Linked DNA regions of Oryctolagus cuniculus. The protein of the gene in region 2 purifies or fractionates together with the protein of the main gene of each other region. This does not show direct contact. Links are inferred from orthologs where the notes say so. Each region holds a gene or a part of one and is shown on either strand. Other genes may lie near its edges.

Evidence for each region. Proteins that work in one complex are often made in the same cells at the same time.
Region 1: the proteins of CCNB2 (region 2) and PKMYT1 purify together in Homo sapiens (affinity purification with mass spectrometry; 4 studies listed by BioGRID and IntAct, with this or other methods). This does not show direct contact. The link is inferred for Oryctolagus cuniculus from reciprocal best matches to the Homo sapiens genes CCNB2 and PKMYT1.

Annotation. Positions count from the first base shown.
Region 1 is NC_091450.1:32,464,578-32,468,469, reverse strand, and holds part of PKMYT1 (membrane-associated tyrosine- and threonine-specific cdc2-inhibitory kinase), read right to left. Parts: intron 2,983-3,892; coding exon 2,616-2,982; intron 1,887-2,615; coding exon 1,393-1,886; intron 816-1,392; coding exon 709-815; intron 615-708; coding exon 442-614; intron 361-441; coding exon 203-360; intron 1-202. UniProt on the Homo sapiens protein: Acts as a negative regulator of entry into mitosis (G2 to M transition) by phosphorylation of the CDK1 kinase specifically when CDK1 is complexed to cyclins. Mediates phosphorylation of CDK1 predominantly on 'Thr-14'. Also involved in Golgi fragmentation.
Region 2 is NC_091443.1:81,968,777-81,973,116, reverse strand, and holds the start of CCNB2 (G2/mitotic-specific cyclin-B2), read right to left. Parts: upstream 2,824-4,340; 5' UTR 2,652-2,823; coding exon 2,628-2,651; intron 1-2,627. UniProt on the Homo sapiens protein: Essential for the control of the cell cycle at the G2/M (mitosis) transition.

The DNA.
Region 1 (3,892 bases), on a different chromosome or scaffold from region 2:
GCCGGGCCTTAGGGGCTCCCTCTACCCAGGGGAGGGACAAGGCTTTATCCCTGGGCCCTGGCAGCCTCTGCCAGGGCGGGAGCAGAGGGACGGCACTGAGTGCCAGGCCTGCTCACACCCTCCTGCCTTGGTTGAGCTCTCCATTCACCACTCCTCCTAGGGCATGGTCGTGGAGTGGTCACTGTGCCCTGCCCTCACCTACCGTAGACTGTCCTCGTCCCAGCTGCTGGAGAGGCTGCCGTCCAGGAGCAGGCTGCAGGGCGGTGAGCCGGGAGGGGTGGCTGGCGGGCCTGGGGGCTGCAGCCAGCTGGCAGGGTGGGCTAGCCCATGCCAGAGCCAGCACAGCAGGGCAAGCAGAGCCTGTGTGGGGAGAGAAGCCTCAGAAGGTGCTGGCCCTGGTCAGGGGGCAGGCACGGCCACCTGGCTATAGAGGGTGCTTACCTGCCACAGGGCCCACCCACGGCTCAGGGCCTCGGCAGCCAGGAACCACAGGACGCTCCAGGGCCGTGGTGGCCTCAGCATGGGCAGGGCCAGCAGGGCCTCAGCAGTGGCCCGCAACTGGGGGTCAGGCTCCAGCATCATGACAAGGACAGAACGGAGCTCGGGGGACAGACCTGCCATGGGGTGGGGCCACATCAGCGTCCCAGAGCACTGATGGCTCTGAGCCCACCATCCTCTCCATGGCAGCCTGCCCCTGCCCGCACTCACCGGCAGTGAACTCAGGGGGCAGGTAGCCCTGGCGCAGCTGCTGCCAGCCCTCCCCACCATGGGGCAGCTCCATGTTGCATGCCACTTCCAGGATGGTGAGACCCAGACTGGGAGGGGCAAGAGGGGACAGAAACAAGCAGGGTTGGCCCCGAGTCACAGACCCAGTCCCAGGCTGCCTCTGCTTGGTGGGAGCGGATAGCTGACTCCCACCATCAGCCAGGGAGGTGGGGAAAGAGCTGGGGAGGGCCCAGCAGCACAGGAACTCCACTGTGGAGTGTGAACCCCATACTCAACACAGCCCACACACTGCTGGGGTAGGTTCACCCTGTGCCCCACCTACTCTGACAGCACCCTGGCTGCCCCATGACTGCTACCATCGCCCCATGGGACCTGCCAACTGCAAGCTTGGGGCATGGCCCTCAGCTCACGGTGCACCCCTCCCTCCAGGCAAATGGCAAAGGTGCCTGGTGTGCAGCAGCAAGGACGAGGCTGATCTGGGCACAGTCGCGCTAGAAGCGGCCTGGTCTGGGAAGCCGCCCCGACTGGGAACTGGGGCAGCACCTCCCAGCGGAGGCTGATCCTGACCTTGCCCAGGAGGCGGCATCCCTCCCAGAGAGGCCTTCTCTCTCCTGATCTCCTCCAGGAAGGCCCCCCCCCACCAGCCCACCACAGCCCAGCCCTCACCTGAAAACATCAGCGGCTGTTCCACAGGAGCCCTGCAGCAGCTCGGGGGCCATGTAGCGGGGGTCTCCCTCCTGGGCCTCGCCAGCCCCGACTGCACCCAGCTCCACCAGCAGCCCAAAGTCACCCAGCTTGCAGCGGCCCCGGGGCCCCAGGAAGATGTTGGCAGGCTTGACATCAAGGTGGACCAGGCCTTGGCCATGCAGGTGCGCCAGGGCGAGCAGGGTGTCCCGCAGGTAGCCCCAGACCTGGGCTTCGGGCAGGCTGGCACCCCAGGCCTCACAGTGCTGCTGCAGACTGGGCCCACACAGCTCCGTCTGCAGGTACAAGATGCCACCCTCCTCCCAGGCCTGCTCCAGCCGCACACAACGTGGGTGCCGCCCCACCTTCTCGTGGCCGCCCACCTCGGCCAGCTTGCGGGCCCGGTCCTTGGGGCCCCGGAACGGCGACATGGAGCGCTTGACTGCATAGAGCCGGCCATCCTCCTTGGAGCGCACCTGGAAGCAAAGTGGTAGCACAGGTGAGGTAGGGGTGGTCCACGAGGGGCGTGGCCACGTGGAGGGACAACAGGCAGGGTCTACTGAGACGCTACCGTGCACAGGGACAGCCAGCTGGCAAGTGTTCTAGAACCCCTGCATGCTACAACAGTGAAGCCGAGACCCAGCATGCAAGCGGCAGGCTGAGCTCTAGGGCGCATTGTTCAGGAGAAAAGCTGGCTACGGGACACAGCGGGCAGTGTGCTCAGTGGGTGAAAAGTGCTTTCCTCCGGGGCGTGGCTGATCCAGGCGCTTGCGCTGTTTGTACTTCTTAACAAAGTCAACTTCACACAGTACTTGGGAAAAGCAAGGGAAAGCTACTCATTTAAAGGAAATATAAATGACTGGAAAATATCTTTTAAGAAACAAAGTTGTGGCCAGGGGTACACAGCACTCAGGGCCAGCTCCGGGGGCCAGGCAGACTTGCCAAGGACCCCAGCACACTGGCTCCAGGGCTAGGGAGATGGCAGCGGCCACAGGGCATGCCAGGCCCTGGACAAGGGGCCAGTGTGCACGAGGCAGCTCTTGGAAGGCCTGCCCCAGGGGATGGGAACACAGCCAACTCAAACCCACAGGAGGGGCTGTCGACCCCGCAGGGGCTGCTGGGGAGGGGCAGGCTGCCCGGGACTCCATGGGGCCAGGGAGCGGAGGGTGGCAAAGGGTCCCCAGGTGGGGCCACCCCTCACTCACCTTGAAGACCTCCCCGTAGGAGCCATGGCCCAGGCGGCCGAGCCTCTGGAAGTTCTGCTGGAAGAAGGATTCTGGCCGGCTCGGGTCGTACCCAGGGCTCTGCAGGGTCTCTGAGGTCTCGCTCCGAAATGACACCCTCCGGGGCTGGGGCTGGTGCCAGCCCGGGGTCCGAGGAGGGAAGATGCGACTGATGGGGATGCTGCCCTTGGCAGGGGGTCGGGGCGGGAGGCTCCGGCTGAGCCCCCCGGGCCTCTTGAGGGAGAAGCCAGGTTCTGCGTGGCGGAAGTAGGCCGGGACTGGGACAGGGGTGCCGCTCAGGGGCGGCGGGGTGCCTTCTGTGGGCACAGGCATGGCCAGCGCAGGAAGCCTGCAGGGGCAGAGACAGAGGCTGAGTGTGGAGCAGTGGGTCCACTCAAACTGCACCTGGCCTGTGGCCCCAGAGAGAGCTGCTCCTATAGCTGCCCCCACTCCCCGCATGTTCTGCTTTCAACACCAAGGCTGAGAGGGCCCTGCACAGTGGCCAGTAAGGGCATGGGACAGGCATTCCCATCTCTACCTCAGAGCCATGGACCTGAGGGTCTCGCAGTTCAGGAGGGAGCCCAGAACCAGGCAGGCTCAAGTCAGATGCCCGCACAGACGGGCCCCAGCTTGGCACAGCCAGCTGCTGCCTGCCAGCTGCACAGCCTGTCCGGGACCCAGAGATGGAAATGGTAACACGGCCCTCTGGCACAACAGCCTGGAGTCCCAAATATTCCTCCTTTCTTCTTCAGTGTGGTGCCAAGGCCCAGCCAGTGAGGGCTTTGTCATAATGGTGTGCAAGCCCCGGGGGCCTCTCCGCACAAGAGGCACAAGCGGTAGAGACGACCCAAAAGCAGGCATCGCAGTCTCTGGACATGGCACTGAGGGCACACAGTGGGTGAGCAAACACGTATGCAAGAAAATCAACCAAATCTTGCTAAGAACAGAGACTGTGTGGCACCTGATCCCTCCCCAGCCCTCAGCTCTATCGACAGGTGTGGCCAGTGGGGCTCCCCCAGCTCCCAGTCAAAGGACAGGGCATCTGCCCAGGAGGGCAGGCTCTGGGCACTTCTCAGCCTTCCAGCTCCACATGGCAGGAAGGCCAGGCCCCGCTCATACAGCCCACATGCAGGGCTCCGCCTGTGGAGCTCATCTGCTGGGAACACGGAGCCCAACCACCCAAGTCCCTGCCCGTGCACAGCAGGGAGGTTCCGTGCTGGGAGAAGCGAGCAGAGAAGGCCAGAGGCCACTTTGTCACC
Region 2 (4,340 bases):
CTGGCTCCTAGCTTTGGCCTGGCCCAGTCCTGGCCGTTGCAGCCATTTTGGGGGTTAACCAGCAGATAGAAGATTTTCTCGCTCGCTCTCTCAGCCTATCCTCTGTAACTCTCACTTCAAATAAATACATTTAAAAAAAAAAAAAAAACTTCTACAGAGAGTGGTTATAAGTGCAATTAAAGTGAAAAATTAAAAAGGTCTAAACTCAGAAACTGAAAAACTAGAGTAGCTTTATTACGGCAAATCTAGAAATAAGAAATGCTGTTGCAGACATGACCTTACACATGCAGCTTTATAGAATGAGGCTGCCGTAGCAGAGGCTCTTTTTAAGTAAGGATGCTTGAAATGGTGTTCTTGGGTTAAACAGTTTTAGCACTGAGATTCAGGAGACGTTCAAAGTATGTGCAACATGGGGCTGGCGCTGTGGCACCGTAGGTTAATCCTCCGCCTGCAGCATCAGCATCCCATAGCAGTGGCGGTTCTAGTCCCGACTGCTCCACTTCCAGTCCAGCTCCCTGCTATGGCCTGGGAAAGCAGTGGAGGATGGCCCAAGTCCTTGGGCCCCTGGACCCATGTGGGAGACCAGGAGGAAACTCCTGGCTTCTGATCAGTGCAGCTCCAACCATTGCGGCCACTGGGGAGTAAACCAGCAGATGGAAGACCTTTCTCTCTATTTCTCCCTCCATCTGTAACTCTACATCTCAAATAAATAAAATCTTTAAAAGAAAAGTATATGCAACAAAAATTGCTAGTTGATCTTTACCTACTTTAGACAGAGTGTGATTAGAAACAAAACCTCATTTAAAAAGAGCAATGCACACCATAAAGCTTATTATCAAAGTGATAAGCAAAACAGTATCCTATCCCTGAGATTTAGGGGTCCCTCTCCTAAAAGAACTCCCAAACAAGGACTTGAGTGATATACAAAGACAGAGAGGCCAAGGCAAACTCCTTCCTTGAATTGAAAGAATCTTACCACTAAATAACTTGATAGGTTACATTAGAGAAAATGACTTGTTAGTTGGATTTGGCTCCGCAAAAGGGTATGAATTAAACACTGAGTGGACTTATTCAGTACCTAGAATTGCAATTCTCCAAAGTCACACTGTTCAATCTTTCCAGCATCAACTGCCAATTTTAAAAAGTGTTTGAAAATGTAATGCTTATGGGTTGAAACCTGGCAATGTGACTAAATTTAAACCTATCTGGATGGTGACAGGGATTAAGATGGCGCAATAGGGAGGGAAATTACTGCTCTAGACTTGAAGATAGTTTTAAAAAAGGGAGAGAGTGAGTCTCAGGGAAGTGTTAGGGGAAAAAAAGGCAGAGGAAACTCCACACAAATTAGAGGGACACTGTGGACCTATGTGGAGAGTGTGGACACGCACACCTCAGCACCAGCCCTGGAGTGGGACAAGGGGCTGCCGCATACAGTGCCGGCTGCTCCACTTCCTATCCAGCTCTCTGCCACGGCCCGGGAAGGCAGTGTAAGATGGCCCAAGTGCTTGGGCCCTGCACCCGCGAGAGAGACCCGGAAAAAGCTCCTGGCTCCTGGCTTCGGACTGGTCCAGCTCTGACCGTTGCAGCCATTTGGGAAATGAACCAATGGAAGGAAGACCTCTCTCTCACTGCCTCTGCCTCTCTGTAACTCTTTCAAATAAATAAATAAATCTTTAAACAATAAATTAAAAAATAATAAATACAGGGGAAAAAAATCCCGCATCTTGGAAACTCTCCTTCACTTTCGGTCAAGCCAATACCTTTTGTACTAAGAAAACTTAATTCAGTGCTGGCATAAAATGGCTGTTGCTACTTAATTAGGTATGTGTTTGCTATATTTACACTTATAAATGCAGATACTTATTAAAGTGGTGAAAAAAATTCATCTGGAAGGGGAAACTGGCAGCTTTTAACTAGCCTTGCAGCCAGCACGATGGAACTCAGGTGTGTCACGGTCCTCCAGTTCTTAGCGACGGAAAAGTAGGTGCGGGCACACTTCAGCCTCAAGGGGCAAAAATATTCAAAACACTACACAACACTTTGTTTATTGCACAGATCAAGCAAACGGGCCCGGACTCTTCCCTCAGTCTGCCATCTCGGTCCAAGCTATAACCTATCACATGATGGAAGAAATTCCTTTTTTTTTTTTTTTAAGGAGACAAACCCCACATCAGTAAACTCAGCCTGGAGGACTTCGGGGAACAAGGCCAAGAACGCTCTCTGGCGCGATCACAGGCTGGAGGGGGTTCGTCCAGTTCTCCTCCTCCCCACCCCCACCACGGATCCCTAAGCCGGCGAGGGAGTCCGGAGAAAAGGGGAAGGAAACCCTGAGGGCTAACGACAAAGGGCACCCGGGGGCGGCAGCCAGCGGGCGGGAGGCTCACCTGACAGGTGCCACGACCCAAACCTTTCCCTACCCCTCCCCACGCCCCGCAGCGGGTGGGGGCGGGGACGGTGGGACGCCGTCCGCGGGGAGCCCCGGGGGAAGCAGCAGCAGCTGCGGCTGGGACAAAGAGGTTCGGAGCAGAAGAGGCAAAGCCAGAGGCAGCGAGGGCCAGGGGGAAGGGGGAAGGCGGCTCGGCGGGGCCGCAGCCCCGGCCGGGGCGAGGGGGTCCGGGCCCACTCACCGTCGGGCGTCGGAGCAGCGCCATGAGGGACGCGGGAGGCAAGAGGCCCAGTCCGGCCCAGGCGGACTGGAGCTGGCAGGCACTGGCGTCCGCGGCGCCGTTGGAGCTGCACTCCGAGCCCGTACCGCGGAGGATCGTCGGCGAGGTCTCCTAGTTCCAGGATTCAAATACCGCGCCGCTCGCGCCCCCATTGGGCGACCTCACGCACGGCGTGCTCGTTTCATTGGCTAAGCTTGGACGCATTCCCGAACGCTGATTGGCTGAATTTTCATATGCTCCCCCCGTTTGGTTGTCATAGAAACCACCAGTCTCCTCCCCCCCCCCCCCCGCTTTTAAATGACACCTCTGTCTTCATTGAAAAACCCAACCTCTGTGAAAAAACAAAAATGAAAGTTTCGTGAAAGTAGACGTAAGACGCCACCGAATTGGACAAGGCCTCGCCTAGGACGTTCTCCAGGTTTGTATTGGGTGCGCTGAAGCTGGGTCTACGCAAGACCCGGGCAAGACCGCTGCTGACTTTCATTGCTCTTCCCCAAAGACCGGGGTGGATCTGCATTGCCGGGGCCTGCAAGTGTGCTATGTTGCTGAGACGCAAACATGTGCTACAGTAGAGGGAATTGTGGAGTTTCCTCAAATACTAAGATTCCTAGGGAAGCACCCCCCCCCCCCCCCCGGAAAAAAAAGGGACGAGTGATTTGTGTCATTCATGAGGAAGAGAGAGAGAGAGAGAAGTCTTCCATCCGCTGGTTCACTCCCCAGATGACCGCAACAGCCGGAGCTGCGCCGCTCCGAAGCCAGGAGCCAGGAGCTTCTTCCAGGCCTTCCCACACGGGTGCAAGGGCACAAGGACTTGGACCATCTTCCACTGCTTTCCCAGGCCACAGCAGAGAGCTGGATGGGAAATGAAGCAACCGGGACTTGAACCGACGCCCATAGGGGATGCTGGCACAGCAGGCGGTGGCTTTACCTGCTACGCCACAGAGCTAGCCCCTAAATAAATATATCTTTAAAAAAAGAGAGAGAGAGAGAGAGGCTGGCACTGTGGAGTAGCTAGTTAAGCCCCAGCCTGCAGCGCCGGCATCCCAGATGAGCACCGATTTGATTTCCAGCTGCTCCACTTCTGATTCAGCTCCCTGTGAATGCACCTGGGAAGCAGCGCAAGATGGCCCAAGTGCCAGAGCCCCTGCACCCACATAGGAGACCTAGAAGAAGCTCCTGGCTCTGGCCTGGCCCAGCCCCAGCCATTGCGGCTGTTTGGGAAATGAATAAGTGGATGGAAGACCTCTCTCTTTCCTGCTCTCTGTAACTCTGCCTTTCAAATAAATAAATAAAATCTTTAAGAAAGAAGAAAATACCATCACTCTAAGACCTAACTCATTAGCATGAGTTCATGAATATATAATTCCATACTTTATAAAACTCAGACCACAGGAAGTATAGTTAGTGATCAATTATAGAGAACATTAATTAACTATAAGTATACAGAAAATGATGACAAGCGTATTTAATAGCTTTAAGATACAGTTTAAGCAAAATGAAGATAGCTGTACTATAATATCTGAAGAACTAGCACTCAAGAAGAAACCAGATTTATTCTCACGTTTCTCTAGACTATCAACCCTATACCTAATGTTACAGGAACCAAAGGAAAAGAACTTTCTAGGGGTGGTCATTTGAGCAGCAGTTAAAACTCCACTTGGGACACCTGCACCC